4 linked regions of the Drosophila melanogaster genome follow. The protein of the gene in region 2 interacts with the protein of the main gene of each other region in a pairwise test. Each region holds a gene or a part of one and is shown on either strand. Other genes may lie near its edges. The genes, in order: CG5614, CG7742, Boot and CG12498.

What was found.
Region 1: the proteins of CG7742 (region 2) and CG5614 interact in a two-hybrid assay, tested with the Drosophila melanogaster proteins (one large-scale study listed by BioGRID).
Region 3: the proteins of CG7742 (region 2) and Boot interact in a two-hybrid assay, tested with the Drosophila melanogaster proteins (one large-scale study listed by BioGRID).
Region 4: the proteins of CG7742 (region 2) and CG12498 interact in a two-hybrid assay, tested with the Drosophila melanogaster proteins (one large-scale study listed by BioGRID).

The regions. Positions count from the first base shown.
Region 1 is NT_033777.3:15,778,089-15,782,086, reverse strand, and holds CG5614 (uncharacterized protein), read right to left. Parts: upstream 2,283-3,998; 5' UTR 2,178-2,282; coding exon 1,101-2,177; 3' UTR 995-1,100; downstream 1-994.
Region 2 is NT_033779.5:5,211,777-5,217,304, forward strand, and holds CG7742 (uncharacterized protein), read right to left. Parts: upstream 3,306-5,528; 5' UTR 2,811-3,305; coding exon 2,541-2,810; intron 2,385-2,540; exon of another isoform or gene 2,376-2,384; coding exon of another isoform or gene 2,310-2,375; intron 2,248-2,309; coding exon 2,061-2,247; intron 2,008-2,060; coding exon 1,914-2,007; intron 1,865-1,913; coding exon 1,612-1,864; intron 1,557-1,611; coding exon 1,087-1,556; intron 1,021-1,086; coding exon 939-1,020; intron 887-938; coding exon 713-886; 3' UTR 619-712; downstream 1-618. Other genes in the region: Cyp28d1 (cytochrome P450 28d1), read left to right, coding at 1-45, 105-374, 437-603; CG14034 (uncharacterized protein), read right to left, coding at 3,507-3,645, 3,698-3,866, 3,929-4,506, 4,559-4,661, 4,711-4,738.
Region 3 is NT_033778.4:9,091,572-9,096,812, reverse strand, and holds Boot (bootlegger), read left to right. Parts: upstream 1-2,154; 5' UTR 2,155-2,281; coding exon 2,282-2,321; intron 2,322-2,385; coding exon 2,386-3,353; intron 3,354-3,509; coding exon 3,510-3,605; 3' UTR 3,606-4,307; downstream 4,308-5,241. Other genes in the region: Nadk2 (NAD kinase 2, mitochondrial), read left to right, coding at 5,044-5,083, 5,160-5,241.
Region 4 is NC_004354.4:2,807,432-2,811,596, reverse strand, and holds CG12498 (uncharacterized protein), read right to left. Parts: upstream 1,717-4,165; 5' UTR 1,631-1,716; coding exon 845-1,630; 3' UTR 751-844; downstream 1-750.

The sequences.
Region 1 (3,998 bases), on a different chromosome or scaffold from region 2:
TGCGTTCTACGTGCGTTTGTCGCACGTCTGGCTAATTAAAATTGCATTTTTCGTACGCTCCGTACAGGTTATTGATATGCTCCATGTGGATTCGTATATATTTCCGCGTATATCCGTATATATCCGTATATATGTAGGCACCAGTTGGCCATCGTTTACTGGGTGCTTGTATGTAAGTGCCTGCCGTTTGGTTTGGATAGAGTAGAGCAAACTAAAGGATGTGATTGCAATCATTGGTATTAGTATTATTACGAGCAAGTTTTCTTACCATAAAATGAAAGGAATTTAAGCAACTAGATTATTTGTAAAAGTGAATAGATTGTTCATTCCAAATACTTACCTCTTTGTTTTGAAAACCCCACCTGAACAATATCTGTTTTCGCCATTCATCTTTTCGGGTTTCATCCATCTGCATAAAATCAATCAATCGCACACCGGATTGCTTAAGAGGGTCAGAGACCTCCGACGACATTCCCGATAGGCCTAATTAATTGATTGAGGATGTTGTCGGCCGGCTTTGGTTTCGGCCACCACCGTGTTCGCTTTGTTGTCGGGGTCACAGTTGCAACTGTCATAATATTGACTCATTGCCGTTGTAATTAATGGTGTTAAGACTCGCACGCCATTTTAATGCAATCGAATTGACAGGCGGCATCCGATTCGCGATTACTGCACCTCATGCCACCACCCCCTTTCCATCGGGGGTGGCCATCGTCTGGGGGATATTGATTTCAATTATAATGATGTAACACAATGGTCGCCGGTCCCCCATTGACTGCCATTTTGGTCATTCCTTACCCTTAGCCCCGTTGACCCGGAGGCGAGTTAACTAATTGTTAACCTCGTGGTTTGTGTTTCGAATATTAAATAGAAAACCAGCAGTAAACTCCAGCAGTAATTAATTGAAAGGCAAGGCAGTAAATATCTAAATATTTCGCAAGTAAGAGATGCGCATTAAGAATCCTTAATATCCTTAAAAATTAAAAAAAATGCTCCAATCAAAATGTATTGTTTATTAGTGTAGCTGCAAGAAATTTCCAAGACAACTGTCATACACAAATTGACTTTCTAATTTAAAAATAAGGAACTTCTGGCATTGATCAATCTTCATCCGAGCTGTAATCGCTGTCTAAATTGACTTTTCTTATGTGGGTATCACATTCTTCCTCCGGTTTTAAGGTATTTTTGTTCCGTAGTTGCACTCCTCGCGGGGAATTCCAATAGTCCTGCCTTGAAACTTTATTTATTCCACTGATCGAAGGCTTATCATCAGAGTCGGAACTTTCAGTTTCTGGCTTCCTTGAAAAATGTTGCTTCCTCGATGTGCTCGGAATATTGTCGCGTTCATTTGCCTGATTTTGTTTACCCTCAAAAGGACCTTCTTCTCCATAATTTGGGGCATATTTTCCCTCTGGCGGCAAGTCATCGATAAATATCTGTCTATCGGGTATGTCCTTATATGCGTCACTGTCCTCCGATTCTTCTTCGCTGTAATCCGATTCCAGGACATCGGATTCAGAACTATCTACGTATGACTTCGGATTCTCGTTCTTGATCGAACGAGGTGGAGTACTAATGCTCTTGGGTGTGAGACCTTTCGTGAACGTATTATTAGTGATGAGTTTTCGATTGTTTTGAACTAGTCTGCCTTGGTTAACTTCTGATTTTTGTGCTCTCATAACTTTTAGTTCCTGTACCAATTTTCGACTCCTTTGCACAGTGGCCTCCATAGGATCCGGTAGCTGAACCAACTTTTTGGAACCTCCTTTTTGCACACCGAACTTCCAATCGCGCATAACTAGTTGAGCCAGGAGCGGAAAATCCTTTGACTCGGGTGTGATGTGTAGACTTTGTTCCATCTCCCTGCGATTGGCCACGTTTTCACCCGTCTCCATGCGAAATGTTTCCATGGTGTGCTTGTAGCCGAACCAATCGAGGAACTCCATAATCATCTGGTTGATCAGCTTGACCAGGCTGTGATCCTCCGATTGATTGGATCCACCAGTTAGTGCTTGGACTTTGGACTTATTCTGCTGGCCACGTATCATCTGGAGGATCTTCACGTGCATTTCGCTCCGTAGTGCCGCCATGGTTCCATTTTTCTCCAACTGACTTTTGATATTCTGTTCTATCATCTTCTGGTAGGCATTCTCCAGGTTAATCTTATGCGAACTCATGGTTGTGAATTTTGTACTAAACTAATTTAAGTTAACAAAACATACACTTTATAAATTTTATATCTACACTGATGACCTCAACAATTTATGTACGTTCAATTTGAATACGAGTTTAGTTGTGGGCATATGCTAGAAATTTCAGCTTAGCCTTTTTTCACACAGCCTCCTTAATGATTGAGATCATTCGAATTTTATTGGCCACTCTCCATGTTTTCTACTAATGTCTGGAAAGTTTATTTCACTTGCCAAATCAGTCCAACTCGTTAATCATTCAGATAACCTTGAAGTTTGGTCAGTCTGCGCATATATTAGCCATTAGTTGAAGTTGTTGAACCTAAGTTTTGGCTGAGAATTTTATTCAATCGGTGTAAGGAAACCTGTAGACAAGATATTTTACTTTTTTATAAACAAAAAAAAAAAAAACACTTAATAAATATCAAAATTCTTTTTGTTGTGGAATAATATATTGGTAATCTCCTTTGTAAAACCCATTGCTCTTTTAAGTTCTAGGGCGATAATCACACAAATTAATACGTTTATAAGAGTTTATAAAAAAGCTAACGAGAATGGTAGAAAAAAATATACACAAAACTTTATCAGGATCAACTTCTGGTTGCTTTTTTGGCTGGTGAGTTTTTCTTTTCATTTATGTGTAGGTGCTGCAAAAGTTCGCTCGGCGATTGAGCCAAAGAAATATTTAATAACTATTTTCTTGCCATTTTTTCCCAGGCTTGTTGGAAAAAGTTATCTTTGCATTTGCTTTTAATTTTTGTAATGGAATTGTTAAGAGCGAATGGCCGGGCAGGGGTAGCAGCTGATTTATAGCCAGCCAAAAGTTTTTTGAGCACAAAAATTCATCGGTGAAAAATGCCAGCCGCATTAGCCTTAAAGTTTTCCACTCAGCCCTCGCTTAAATATTTGCTCGACTAATTAGCAAAAGTGTTGGCAAGGCAGCAAAAAATCCTGGCGAAATTTGGTAGATAAACATATCTATATATTAAGCTCAATGCTGCGCCATTTCCGGTTTATCTTGCTACCAATTTTTATTGGTGTAGCAAAGCAAAGCCAATTAGCCAAAATGGCTGCGACACATTTCCGCTGGTTTGCTGAGCCTCGAACCCGTTAAGTGGCATCGGGGTCAACTTAGCCTGACCTGAACTGACCTCGAATGAGAAGAGTACGAACTACTAGAGGGTTTTTCCAAAGAAATGTTTTGCCTATGAAATATATCCTTACTCTAAGGCTGAATGCATTTCAGTACTTCAAAGCAGTTGAGATCCAAATTAATCTAAATATACAAATCGTTATTTTAATCGATAATCAAATTGCATTTAAATTCAAAATTTAGTTGAATTTTTCTCAGCTATAATATTCCTTTAATATATATTTTTTATTTAATATATGTGCTATATGCCTCTAAATTCAGTTTACACTTTTAAGATGTTTTTAAGCTATCTGTTTTAATAGTGAATGGAAAGGGTATTTCTTATTTTGCCGGAATGGCTTCCTTTTTGGCTATTATCATTGCCGTATTGTTGTTATTTCAGTGACACTTTCGCATTTTGCTAATCGCATTAATTATGCTTTTCCCCCATTTGCTGCTGGGCCTCTGGTCCTGTTTCTGTTTCCATTCCAGGGCCAGAATCCTGGATCCTTTGGCCTGCAGGCGAAATGGCCAGCAAATTGAACAAAAGCAAACTGCAGGCAAAGAAAGCGGTGTGTATAGGGGCTTTAGGGGGTTAATGGAGGAGTGCCTCCTCCTTTCAGGCATAATTGCCTCTCAAGGGAATTAAATTGAGCCGAGAATTTCGTTGGCAGCGC
Region 2 (5,528 bases):
TTGAACAGATAAGTGAGCTGCCCTTCACCGAAGCCTGCATCCATGGTGAGTTTTTTGGCGAAATCTGAAGTTATTTAGTATGCGTATAATATCTATATCTGCAGAAACTTTGAGAATTTTCTCACCTGTTCTGGCTGCCCGCAAGGTGGTAACTGAGCCCTGTGAACTGACGAACAAAAACGGAGTGAGCGTGAAACTGAGACCCGGGGATGTAGTCATCATTCCTGTGAACGCCTTGCACCACGATCCCCAATACTATGAGGAACCTCAATCGTTCAAGCCCGAGCGATTCCTGAACATCAATGGCGGAGCCAAAAAGTACAGAGATCAGGGTCTATTCTTTGGGTTTGGCGATGGACCACGTATTTGCCCCGGTGGGTAACATCATTTTTGAAACAATTAAAGTTACTAAAAAAAATCTATGCATAATTTGTAGGTATGCGGTTTTCACTTACCCAAATCAAAGCTGCCCTGGTGGAAATCGTGCGAAACTTCGACATCAAGGTTAATCCCAAAACTCGCAAGGATAATGAAATTGATGATACCTACTTTATGCCAGCCTTAAAAGGCGGCGTTTGGCTGGATTTTGTTGAACGCAATTAGTTATTCAATAATGTTACGACTTTATATTAAATATAGTTTATCCAGTTGCATACATGTTATATTTCCAAACACTCTTAATACTTTAATTTTGTAACTTAAAACCACACTTTTAGTCTCGACTTAGGGCTAGTTGCACTAGGGGCAGCACCTTGATAGAGGACAAGTCTGCCAGAATCGCTTCGATGCTATCCAACGAGGCCACCTGCATGATGCTCTCCTTTCGAAAGCTAAGAATGATGATGGCGAATAGAGGAAGGATCTCCAAGCTATCAAAGCCAAGGATCTGAAAAGGAAGGGATAAGTACTGCCAATAAGAACGGAGGTGTATTTCGTACCAGATCCCAGAGGACCAGCAATTGATCGGGAGGCAAATGTCCGGAAAACGCTCGCATAAGCCATTTGAAGACCACCCGCAGGCTAAGGAAAGATATGTCGTGAAATGGGTGAAATAGCTGTCTAACGAAAAACCCAATCCCAACTCACGGCTGTATCTGAAGCTCTCGGAAATGGGACCATAACTGCGGTTCGTATGTCTGCAGCAGCTTCTCGAAGAGCAGGCACAGACTGACAATCCCTTGAGGATGCGTGTTTATGGTGGTCAAGCGATGGCAGTACCGGATATAGAAGGCCCGGAATGTATAGTATAGACTCACCGGCGAGTCATACAGATAACAAAAGGGGGCGGCAAACATGCAGATGCCGTGGAAGGGCACCACACCCGATGGAGGACCTTCGTAGGTCTTGCCCTTCACCGGAAACGTCTCGTATTCCACACATCCACCGATATCGGTGTCCCGAGAAAAGCAGAGCAGCACCTGGTAGAGCACGTCCTCGAACACAAAGTACTGGTCGTCGTTGGAGGCCGTCAACTGAATGTCCTTGAAGACCAGTTTGTCAACGATGTGATCCGTAGTCCAAACGGCATTGCGCAGCTTTTGCCAGTACTCAATATCCTTCGGGGGTATAGAGATGTATAATGAGGTTATTGATCCCAAAATCAGTAGTTACGTAGTCATGTAGCTTGCTGTCCAGCACCGAAGCCCAGAGAGCTCCCCTATAAGGTGCGGGTGTGCAGCCCTTCTTCAGAAACTGCTGGCACATGGGCGCATGCCTGGCCTCCAGAATCCTCTGGCACTGAACCGTAAGATCCGGCACTCCCAAATAGCTATCACTTCGCAGCAGATCCGCGTAGTGGGCACGCAGCTCGAAAAGATTTTTCACAGGTAGTGCAATGTGGGAGAACTCCCATTGGGGGATTTGACTAATGAGCAAAATGATTATTTACCTGACTGATTTAAACCAAAACTTACTCTGTATTTTCAGTGGTTTTGGCGGGTCCTTTTAGCGAGAGTAGCACCTCCAGTAAATCCTTTGGAGCGTAAACAGGCCTATAGTTGGCCAGATCTAGAAGTTTAACCATGGTTAATTGTTAGCTTCAATATTTACGAAATGCCTACCCATATTGTAGTTGCTCAGTTCGTTCCACTTGGCCATAAAGTCCTCGCGATCAGCACTGATCCTTGGTTGTCCATGCAATGGAACCTTCAGCTCTGTACACATGGCATTCAAACTCTTCCTAACCCTTCGATCCCAAAGCACACCAGCTCTTTTTAAATATCCAAGTGGATCACTAACGGTGGGTTTCTATTGGAAAATATAGACATAAGTAAAGAACTATTTAATTCATTTTCCCTAGCACTACATACTACTAATACCCCTAAGGCTAACTCTATAGTTGTGGCACTTCGAGATCTTCCGGTATTATGTATCATTATAATTTGTTTTATAAACGTTAAGGTATAAAATAAAATTTTGCCAATAAAGTCAAAAAGTAGAAAATGATAGGAGCAGCATGGAATACTTTTAAATACCACTCCAATTATTCTAAATTCAATTACAAGAAATTTGATAAATTGTATCTTAAAAGTTGTACCCACCGCTCCCTGTTTGTTGGCCAGGTTTTTGTCATCTGTTTTCGACAGCCGCGTGCGGACCAGGTTGTAGACAATATTCCGGATCTCCGTCTCCAGTCCGGCGCTCTTGATGGCATCCTCGAGGGTGTTGCGCATATCGTGAGTATCTACGCTGGGATTGCAGACCAGCTTCTGCAGCTCCTTGTAGATGGGCTCGTAGCTCTTAGTGTTCTTGATGGCCGCGATTACCTTTGCGGTCATATGGTGGATGCTGGCATCCTGCAGCTCCTCCATGCCGATAGCTCCTTGACCCGACCGTTCTTTCTACGTATTACTCTGCCACTGACTACCAACTAACTATTTACACCGTTTTGATACCGATTAGCCCCAAAACTTTGGGCGCTCCTAACTCCGTCGTTTGACTTTTATCGATCAAACTCCGTCGCCTGCTTTGATTTGGAGTCGATTCGATTCCGAGTCACATCCTCGGTTGTCGTCGCTTCTTGGCGACGGAATGCAAACACTTGTTTGGCTGCTAGTTTCGCGTTAGTTGTGATTTGATTCGTTCGTTTTGCCGCCCCTCGCAACCAAGAAATTCCATTATGTTTCGTTTCGAATGAAAAGCCAGAGGCGCGTGAAATTGCTTTCCATATACATTTATTTTCACGCACACCGAAACACGCTGAAACTGAAACTGAGTGGCGGCAACTTTTCCTTTTTCTTGGCATCTGTCACCTGGCCCAACGAGTTGTTGACGTGGTCGTCGGGTTGGCTCCTCCTGTTGATTGCGAAGGTGGGCCAAACTCACCTGAACATGTCAGAGTGTCGAAAGTATTTCACCTGAATATTTAGACCAGGCCGAAATATGATTTTGAAATGGCAAAAATTTTTACACGAAAATAGAGATATATAATCCTCTATGTGGTACATTATTCAATGTTTATTTATGAATTAAAAATATTCGTTTTAAGATTTGGATAGCATCCCTTACTACGTTCCAATCAATTTATCTATAATATCATCGTTCACGAAAGTTCGACCTTTTAGTTGGCGGCTTATTGAGGTAAAGTTCTCTCCCTTGGCATAAGGAGGACCATTATTGGTATCCAGAAAATACCTGCCTCTGGCTCTGCAATTAAATAGATAAAAAGAGATCTGGAAAAATAGGTGCTGGCACTTACTTCGGATCCACGTGAAAACCCATCAGCTCTATATTTTTATCAGGAATGCAAATTCCCTTTGCGAAGCTTTTAAAATTGGGACAGTAGAAGCCATAGAATCCAGAAGGTGACGAAATAGACTCGGCATAATAGTCTGCTGCTCGGTTATGGTAGCAGAAATGAGTCTCCACTAAAGTCAGAACAACGAAAATGAAAAATATAGGTAAAGCAGATGGCCTTAATATTACTAACTCTTATTAATGGGTCCGCAGTTGGGCTGTGATACACCCATGTTCAAGTAGAAGTCCACGTGACCCACTGCATCCAGTAAGCCAAGCATCGTGACATCCGTGTGCACGACGTCCACGAACTTGGCATCAGTGGGATCGAGCTTTAGAGCCGGATCCTTGACCATGTAAAATGGTTTTGCCGGATCGAGGGCTGTAATATGCTCCAGCTTGTGTTCCGGAAGAAACTGCCCAATGAAGCCTGCGACATGGGCACCTAAGCCCAAGCCAATTAGGTGCAGATCCTCAATTTTGACCAATCCGCTCTCGAGGAGTACTCGTAGCAACTGAGCAGTACAGCGAGCTACGTATTTGGCATTGTGCACCGCTTCCGTATAGCAGGGTTCATAGGCTAGTTTTGGATAATCCAAGGATATCAAATTGTAATCCTGTGTCAGGAACAGCGGACGTAGCTGGGTATTGGGACTGAAATCGCGGTGCCCGTTGAATCCATGGATCAGAACCTTGAGCGGTTTGTGGTGATAAAATTCAAAACGATTAAGTTCAAAAACTGAAAGCTTAGTTCCCTCCTGATTTTCTTTTCTGCAGATACGGATAGATAATGAAAATCATAGTATAAAACCATTAATCTTACGTGTATAGCCAAAAGGAAATGTTGGCATTGGGACAAATTTCGTTTTGCAGGGAAAAACAGTTCATATCATCTAAGCCAGCAACGAGCATAACACTCGAGAAGCCTAAAACACGATTACTTTATGACTTTATTATTAACTCAGCCTGAATTACCTATTAAGACCAAGATGTTATTCATCATTCTCTTCGATTCCGTTGAGGCCTTTACTGATTTTTTTATTTTCCGACTTTATATGCTCTAGGTTCCATAAAATCTTTTTAATTAAGTTTGTCTCGTTCAACCGAATAAGTAACCGGAAAGCTTTTCTAATTGCAAAATATGTGCATCTGTAGCGCCCAGGGAGGAGCAGTAAAATATTATAGCAGTGGAATTCTGCATAAAAGTTAAATATGATTAAATTATAAAAAGAACAGAAATAGAATTTTAAAAATCAATTTAAAAATAAATAGGAAGTCAGTAATTAATTAATTCGCGGTTGACTTCGCTCCTGGGCAGAACAATTTGCAGTGGTAATTACATCGTAAATCTAGCCTTAAATTTCATGCCACCAAAATGTCAGCGTTCGAATTAGAACTTATGCCACAAGTGTGGCCAACACTCAACTCAAGCTATTTATACAGATACACATTTTGGGCATTGAAAATTATGCAAAAACAATCGAAGTGCCACTGTGTGAGTGCACTGTGGTCGCCAGAGCAACCCAACCCAACCCAACCCAACCCCTCTTCCCATTGTGCCATTCCGTCACCTCACTGGGACATTCCAAATGTGTTTCACGTTTTGTCATAAATAATAAAACTCAAATGACCATCAAAGCCACTACTGTGCGCCTTTGCCAAAAAAAAAAATGCCGCTGCCGGAAGGTTACCCACTCATACAGAACTATCCAAATTCGAATTCGCATCCAAATCCGAACCCATGCCCAAAGAACCATAGCATCCCCCACAATTGGCCTGTCCATCTAGCGTGA
Region 3 (5,241 bases), on a different chromosome or scaffold from region 2:
TCACAACGGTTCATTAGAGATGTCAGAAATTTTAAAAGCATCATTTACATATTATTTCGTTCTAGAGTATAATTTACCTTTTCAAAGGAGAGATCCTTGTTTGGGCATATGACGCGACAATCAAAGGTGGTTTTCTTGAACACTGCAAAATGACAAAAATTAAATGGTTATAAAGAGCAGCAACCGATTTTCTAAAAAACTTATAAAACACAAAAATAATAAAATGAAGGGGTTTCAGTAAAAACTCGTATAGCTTCATAACATTTTTCAGTCGAAAGATGGTGTAAGTTTCATTCATCACAACACAATTAATTGTCCAATTTACACATAAAATTTAAACTAAATTTTTTTATTATCTTAAACCGAATTATTACCTTTTTCACTGTGTTAGTGAGCCACGTTTGATACATGATATTGACGTTGCAATGAACTGAAATTAAAATATATTTGTGTTATTCAAATGTAACAATCTTTTTAACAGGTTTTTTTAAAGCGTTTAAAATTCAGTGAAAACTAGTATAGCATCAAAATGATTTTCAGTCGAAAGATGATGATAGGGTCATTCATCACGAAATTTTAAGTAGTTTTCATAAATGAAGAGAATAATTACCATTTCACGCTGATAACCTCATTTATATTCCGAATCCAAATCGAAAGACCGATCTGCAAGTAATAGATGAGTTCTCATAAGTCACGGCCACAAGTAAAAATTATATTTAGTTGAGAGTCGAATGTGTCAGAATTAGTTATAACTGATTTGAATCACAACGGTTCATAAGAGATGTCAGAAAATAGAATTATAAATCATCAGATAACTGAGAAGGGCTAATTTGGGATTTGGAACGAATTCTTACCGTCTGTCTCTCTCCAACTCTGCCAGAAAACACGTGTTGAGCATAAGAGGCCATTTTGTTTCTGAAAATGGAATGCTGGGTTAGCCATATTCGCAAATACTAAACTTAGCTAGTTAAGAGGGTTTAAACTGTCAGCTTCACGAAAATAATATGCACCGCAAACTCGGGTTTTTTAAATTTGGGTTATGCTTGGGCAAAGCACGTTTTTCTGCGAGCAAGTAAAAAGCACTAGCTAAAGTAGTAGTTTCTTTACACCAGCGACTCATGCTCGCATGAAAATATTAATATTATTTAACAAAAATATAAATAAATACAATGATGAAACTTACCAATTCACAAATGCCAGCGCTTTAACGCAGCGCCTAGTAATCACAGATTCACCTGCAATATAAGCAAACGCATCGTTTAGCTAACGTTCTTTTTTAATTTTTAATTTGTTGAGACTGCAATGGAATCTCGACCACGTGACTGCAATTTGAATTGCAATCGGTGAAGTGCATTTCCCTGCGCATCACAAATTAATCTTGCAACATTGAGTTCTGCAAACAAGCCAGTAGAACTCGATTTGCAGTTATAATCGCTGCACTCACCGGTCGCCTATCATATCTATAATACTTACATTTTTATATATATTTTTTTAATCGTTTCCAATGCGGTGATGTTCGCTCCACGTTCTTTAAAAAAGTGAAGAGAAGCCAGTGAAGTTGGCGGCGATTGGTGGTGCAGTGTGCACGCTGCTTGTACTTTCAAGAATACTGAAACGCCTAACGCCTGCGTTTGTGGTCTGTTTTCAAGGTGGCGCACTGTTATGAAAAACTGATTTACCAAAACAAGTTCGCATTGAACGATTTAAGTAAATACATACAAGTTATTGCCCCATATTAAACTTAAGTCAATACTTGATTTAATTTAATAAAGAAGAAAATAAACAAAGAAAAAGAATTCACACAAATAAAACACTAATAATATTTTATGTTTAATAAACTTTAAATAAAATGAATAGATCTTAGACAAATACTACCCGACTAGAAAATACTCTTACTCAGCTAGTGGATATGCGAACACGAAAATTTATCATGATAGATACTGCTAAATAAAATGAGAAAAAATTAAAAATTGTTCATAAGTGTGTTTTGAGCGTTTTGTAATTATAAGGAGGGGTGTGGCAAAGGTGCTCGACTTGGCTATTGATCCTGATCAAGAATATGCTTTTGTATACTATTTTACACTACGAGTAACGGGTGTAAAAACTCAAAAGCTGACCAGTGCAAAGAAGTTTTACTTCGATTTATCCGGGTGGTAATATTCGATTGCAGCACTTGCAGCTCTACAAACGCGGTGGTTCTAACTGTTTTTCTTGCGGACCAGACTGACGCGGCGCCAAGCTTTTTTTGTTTCTATATTTTAGGCTTAATTGCGAGTGCACGATGACGGATTTCAATGCATCCGGAGTCATTCTGTCTTTGGGTACGTAAAAATGTCTGCTCAATTTGTGATCGTCCTTAAAATATTCGTTTTTTTTATCTGACAGATGAGTACTTCGAGCAATGCGTAGTACCAAAACCCAGAATACCACCACGATACTCGAGTAATGCAGCCCCCAAGGGCGATAATCGCCAGCTGGGGCACTTGCAAACCTACAAGGACCAGGATCAGGGTGGCGATACCGATGTTGAAGTTGAAGATTTCCAGGGTTCCGTGCTAGCAAATGGCCAATCAATTCTAACCGAGTTCGATTCCAATGTTTCGCAAATCAACTTTGAGATTAATGACTTTGATAAGGTGTACTGCGAGACGGAGTCTCAAAGCTCGGAGGCCTCACAAGGCTCAGCCACGTGGCGCATGAATGGTAACAACGTCAACCGGCCATCAGCGGCGGCTCAACTGGGGCTCAGTGACCAGGCACGTGGTCACGTTAAGTCGCGCCTTGATCTGAGAGAAGGCTCTCGATTTCGTAATAATTTTAACAAGAGACGCAATCGTCAGTATAATCACCATGAACGGAATGAATTCCATCGTCATCAGCACCAGCCCCAGATTGCCAAGAAGGAGGTCCTGCGCTACGCCTACAATGCCTTCAGCAGTCAAGAAATCCATTCAAATCAACAAACTGACCTTGACATTGATGTAAATAAACATTTCCAGTATACTCACCAGGCACCCACTGATCCGCGTAGCAGCCGCAACTACATGGGACCTGACCACTACGACTGGACCGGCTCCACCTCGATCGGCTCTTTAATCGATTCGGTGTCCCACATTCCGGATAATCGTGTCAAGAACCATTTGCCTTGTGAAACCATCACGCGTTACACGGACAACTCGATGAATGTGTTTGCTGGAGAAGCGCAGGATATTAATAAGCCGCAGACTGACCTGAAACCCGCAGCAGTTGATTCCGAGAGCATGAAAATCAGTAAAATGGCCCACAACGTGATGCTCTTGCTCAAGAGCGTTGCCCAGCAAAACAACCAAGGAGACTCGTGTGACATCTTCAAGGTAATATTCGAAATCATGTGTAATCTAATACCACACAATAGAGATTTGAAAGAAAGCCTTACAAACTGCACGTGTAAGAAAAAAGGCATTAAGCTTCAAGAAATGATTCATATTAACTTTGTATTTTTAAATAAGTTTACGGTTTTCTTATTTAAGAACATCGACTGGATAAACGGACCGATGGAGGAGTCCCGAAGTGTCGCATTGCCTGAACGTGAAGGAGGAAGGGACCAACTGCAACGTTTTAACTAGAAAACCGACATCAAGTTGCATTTAAGGGATCTATCTGACTTCTGTTATTTCTAAGTACTCAGCAGCCCATGTTTAAATTAAGTTCGCCGGATTGGCGGGCACTTTCTGTGCGAATTGCGAGTCGACGCAGGCAAGAAGAAGACGATTTCGACGATGCCCAGTGAATGGCAGGGGTGAATAGTCGCTTTCTGCCTCTTTTTTTTATATATATAACACATATTTCGGCTGATAAGAACAGGCTGGGCCTCTTATCAGTAATGCACAACAAGAAGTACACACGGACGAACGAGATGTGAGAAGCGAAAGCGGACGAAAATAGAAACAAACGGCGATAAATTTACAGCGAAGGCGATTTTATATACATACATAACTGATGTGCCGGAGACGAACAGAGTAATAATCAGTTAATCTGCCAAGCACCCAGAGAGCGGACGTGAAAATGATCATCGGGATCGGATAGCGGGATAGTTAGTAGTGATCGTAACTTAGGATAGTGTGCTAAACACTAACCTCAACCTATGTTTTGTGCTTTGTCGAGTGTAGAACGAACACGCAGTTATTTTGTTGTTTGTGCAAAAGCATTCGAAAGTGGCCAACTGAAGAAAGAGCCATCGATTCTTTGCATTTGGTTACTTTTATAGCGTAGTCTTTTTCCCAAACGATTTTCTTAACGAATACGAAATAAACTGAACACAGTACCCTAAATGTGCGTTGTTCGTCTTCGGTAGTGCCAAGCATGTTGAAGTCGAAGCAGTTGCTCCAACAGTTTTCCAAAGGTAAGGATGTGTGGGTTTCCGGAGCCGAAATGGCACAACTTGAGGTGTTTTACACACCCTAGCTATCTGTGTTTTCGTTGCCGCCTCCATTATCAGCCTTAGGCATGTGCTGGAGTAAACTAATACCATATCACCAGATCCGTAGGCTCGCCTTGACAGCCTTAATCGCATCTGACGCCGACCAAGCCGAAGATTATCAGTAAACACTTTTTCGCCAAATTCTTTGTCACGATGAACTTTCCCCACGCACACTGGCTGACAAAATTATTCGCTCAGAAAGTGGATATTATCTTAAATATCCTTTTTGGTTTCCGGATTAACTTAACTTAACCAACTTTTCAACAAGTATTGAACGCAGATCTCAAAGTGTGTGTCACTAAACTTTGTTATGCTATAATTATATTGATTATAAACAAACAAATTTTACATACTGGATAGCTTGATTTTACTTATCTTTAATAATGGTATTTAAAGCTCACTGCAGTATGTCAAACCATTAGGAAAATCTACGAAAAACATGATTGGTACAAACCAAATACATAACATTGTTTCATTAAAAGTTTTAGAGGGAAAATACTTTCCACTTGCACTGTGTTGTTTATCAGCTGTTCCGGGAAATTTCCATTAAAACCTAGTAGTTACACATCGATTTCGGCCGTAGGATGCTTCAAAACGGCAGGAAGATTATTCCCGAGGGTTTGAGTAAATTTCCCGTGACGAGGACCCACATTTGATCGGACTAACGAGGTCTTTCGCTTGCAATTGCCATTTTGAACAGAGTACGCTAAATATACGCCGACCAACTTCAAGCTAAAGCGGGCCCTGGTCGTCACCAAGCTGTCCCGCTATGAGTTCGAGCA
Region 4 (4,165 bases), on a different chromosome or scaffold from region 2:
AGAAATGGAAAATGTTACCCACCGAATTTGCCTCGGAATTTTTGCAATCAATTAAATATGAATTAATTGCCTTGTTGTCTTCGCTTCGTTTTGGCCAAGTTCACTTGCTAATTTTACATTTCCTAATTGCTCATCAGTCGCTTGATTGTTAGCCACGCCCCCCACCCCCAGCAGAACGCCCCCCTTTCGCGGACTCTCGCTCATTTAGCTGGTTAATTGCATTTCATTTAATTTCCGTCATTTCTTTTGCCCTATTGACGATATTTTGTTGCCATTTCGTAACGTTGCTCCAAGTTTGTTGTTCATTAGCGTGCCAAAGTTGCTCCCAAATCTGCAAAGGGGCTGGCCGCTAGGTGGCGCCACACCGGCGACAAAAGCCGTTCAAAGGGGTCGAATTTCTTGGCCACCTTGGCCATCTCAATCTCTTTGCTCTTTCACTGTTTCACTGCTAATTGCACGGCATTTAAGTGTCCCCCAATTTCCACTCCCCACGCTCCCACATTGTATCGTTTTAAAAACATTTTATTTGCAGAATTTATAGGTGCTGTAAAAGTGTAAGTTCCAAATTGCATTCAACACCCTTGAACTTAAATCATTTTTAAACTCCAAGCATAAACTTTTATTAAAGCTTGAGCGCTCATAGATCCTCCTAATTTATATAAACAAAATCCGCTGGTGTTCATTATATTTCAACCAGTTCGATGGATTACATTTTAACACATTTTAAGTCCAAAAATTCGCACAACAATTATGACTGTAATTATTTATGATAACAAGCCATTAAAAGTTCCACCAATTGCCATTATCTTTGCTAAATAAATGTTCAAAAATTAACAATTGCCTATTAATTTGGTTCAGTTTTTGGTAATAATGGAGCAGCTGCCCCCGGATCTTCCTCCTCGTCTACGGTATCCGCTTTTCCCCTCGATGGATTTTCAGTTGGCGATTGCGAAACGAACGGGAGCGAATGATTCAATTGCCAGGGATAAACAACGCCATGCCGCTCCATGATGCCGATTTTCTGCTGGGGCCTCAGGGCGAAGGAGAAGGTCCTTTGGATCAGGCTTAAAGGCTTGGCCTCCAACTGCAGTGCGTTGTACAGTTCGACCTTCTTGCGCGTCAGTATGTGGGTGGTGGGTGGACTTATGGCCTGGTTAACACAGTTATCGCGCCACAGTTCGAATTCCTCCTGGGTGAAGTTCAGGTTAGAGACATCGTTAATCTCGTGCTGCATCTCCAGGTCATCGTAGCGCAATCGCAGCGCCACATTCGTGGGTATCTGCTCCACTTTGTAGCCAAAGTCCAGTTCGCAGATGCCCAGCACCTCGGCGATTCGATGATCAGGCAACTCTCCCTGCCCACTGACATTCACGCGGACAAAGCATCCAGTGACGGCCTGCTCGAAGGCGGGTCGAACCAGAAGCAGACCGATTCGATGGCGGCTCAGACGTAGCAGCTCCAACTGATCGCGACTGGTCACCGGTAGATCCGGAGTTGGTGGCTTCTCGTAGCCATTCACCCACGACTCGTTCTCGTCGTCGATCCGCAGAGGCGAGGCGCGAAGATTCCTCAGTTCGCGGACTATTTCCGCTGCCGGACGACGAACGTGTCGGGATCGCTGGTTAGACATTTAAGTGGGCTTATGTGAGCTTCGCCAAAAAGGTTTCCTCAATCAACATTCGAACAATTTTTTAAGGGTTTCGGCTTGTTACTTGACCAAACCAAATTGTGACAACTGAATCCGTGGGGGCGACAGCAAACCCGAATAAATTTGTGCTCAACTCGAAAATGGTAGCCACATTTCAAAAACTCGAGTAAGTATAGACCGTAAAGCTGTAGAATATTTTGCAGGGCACTCATTTCGTTCTTTTTTTTTTTCTAGCTGATCCATTTGAATGCATTTAACGACCCGCCTTCGTTTTATGCCCTCCATAAATGCCAGGGGCCAAACTATTAAATTTATATTAATTTCGTAGTTTTTCCTTGGCTAGCATTTCACTTGGCACCCGCTGCTTAAGCCCACATTTTCCCCCCTTGCCGATTATATATACCTGCTGGGGTTGAAAGGAGCGAGAGTGGGTTGGATCTTTTCCCATTTGGCAAAAGATTTATTATACAATTGCTTTAATTACAGTTGCAGCTAATTGTATGCGGACCTCCCGGGCAGATGCTACTTTTGATGCTGGCACAGAGCCCATTCAGTGGGTGGTGGATGCCTGGCTACTGGCTACTGGATATAGTGGGTAATCGGTAGTGGAAAGTGGGTAGTGTATGGTGTATGGTGGCGAGTTAATGGAAGGACGGTGGTTGCCTGATGGAAGGGTAATGCAAAATCTTTGCATGCTTTGTATGTGAGTCTGCATAAATAACTTGGTTGTATGTGTGGCACATCGAAAATGCTGCTCACGCACAAATTCTCCTCGCTCTGCTTGTCGTCCTTGCGACCCCCTCCTGACACCCCCTGCCAACCACCACCTTCAACAGCACCTCATTTTGGAGTCTCCCTCAGCCAGTTCCTTTGGATCCGCCGCCCCATCCTTCAGCATGCGCATACACTTAAGGGCAAACTCGTTTATGCAAGCTCAGTCATCATCATCATCATCATCATCATCATCATCGTCATCATCGGCATCATCGGCATCATCGGCATCCACATCCATATCCTTGTCCACCGCCACATCAGCATCGCTATTCAGGCCATCTTCTCCTCCCCTGCTCAAGTATCCAACACCTCATCTCATCTTCGATGAGCTGACCAACAGAAATTCCCTTCGATTTCAATGATGCTTTCTTTTTTTTTTTTTTTTGGCCATAAAGCGAAAGAAACACTGGCAAAAATTGGTAATTAATCGGTTATATTGGATTTATAAATAAATTATAAATTATAATAGAAAAATCAAAATTTAATGGAATCTTTTTAGCAGGCAAATGAAAATATTTCCTGCTTAAGAGATATCTACAAATTGGCGTAATTTATGGAGATGGCGCGTGGGAGACAATCCCTCGGGCGAACTTTTGAAACAAATCATGTGGCGTTGAAGTTATTAAAACGGCGTAAAACTGAACATCATGCGAATAATTTAAACACTGGATGGCTATGAGTGTGAAAAATCCTAGAAAATTCTAAACGCCATGAGACCCATCCATCATGACGGCATCAGCTGGTCCAACTGGAGGACCCAACATCAAGTCGACGAGGCTCAAGAACTTTTCCTCGAACACCTTTAGGCCGGGGGCGCGGTACAGTCACCACCGCCATGGAGGCCAGTTGGCCACTCCTTGACGTTGACAGGCTGTGCACAAAGTTTGCGCCCATGAGTAGTGTCATGGGTAGTACGTAGTACGTACGTATGTATGTATGTACCATAGGCAAAAGGCGGTGGAGAAGCTGCGAAGGAGGCCGGAACCCTCGTCCAGCTGGCTGACATGCCAAGCCCTTAACCCTTTGCAGTGCTGCCAGCAGTGCTCTTCGGTCCTCAAACCCTAATGAAGTGCAAGAATATATATATGGAAGCTAGTACGAATAACTATTAGGATCCACCATTTTTTTCCCCCTCTGCTAATTACTGCTCACCACTTAAATCAAACGTTCACTAGTTACTAGTTAGCATTTGAGCTGGACTTCTTGATTCAAGTTGCTGGAATGCAAACGCACCCACGAAATTCAAAGGCTCAAGTGCTGGCAAATTCCCGTACCATAAATGGCGGAGGACACAGGCTGGCTGCGAACGAATCTAGGATACGGATACCCGTGTCAAAAAAAAAAAAAAAAATAAAAGGAAAGACACAAGGCGGAGCGGGCGGTAAATGTGACTAGGCCAGGGGCAGTTGCCAGTTGCCGGTTGCCGGTTGCCAGTTGCGAGGTGCCAGTTGGCAGCGAGGCAGGGAAACTTGTTTGTTGCACAGAAACAAAGCGCTTCTGCTTTTCATGTAAAATGACAGAAACAAGTGTTAATGGTTTTGGGCTTAGCGGGCGGGGGGCGGCGTGGGTTAAGCTAAGTGAAGGACGACGAACGCAGAATGGACAACTGGAAAATCTGCAGTCCAAGCAGATTAGATATCATATTAAAGGTGTGGCGGAATGGAAGCTACAGTCGCGTTTCTTAAAAAGCCAACGTATTTCATATTTGTAAGCTTGAAATACTTTGCAGTTATGAATATGCTT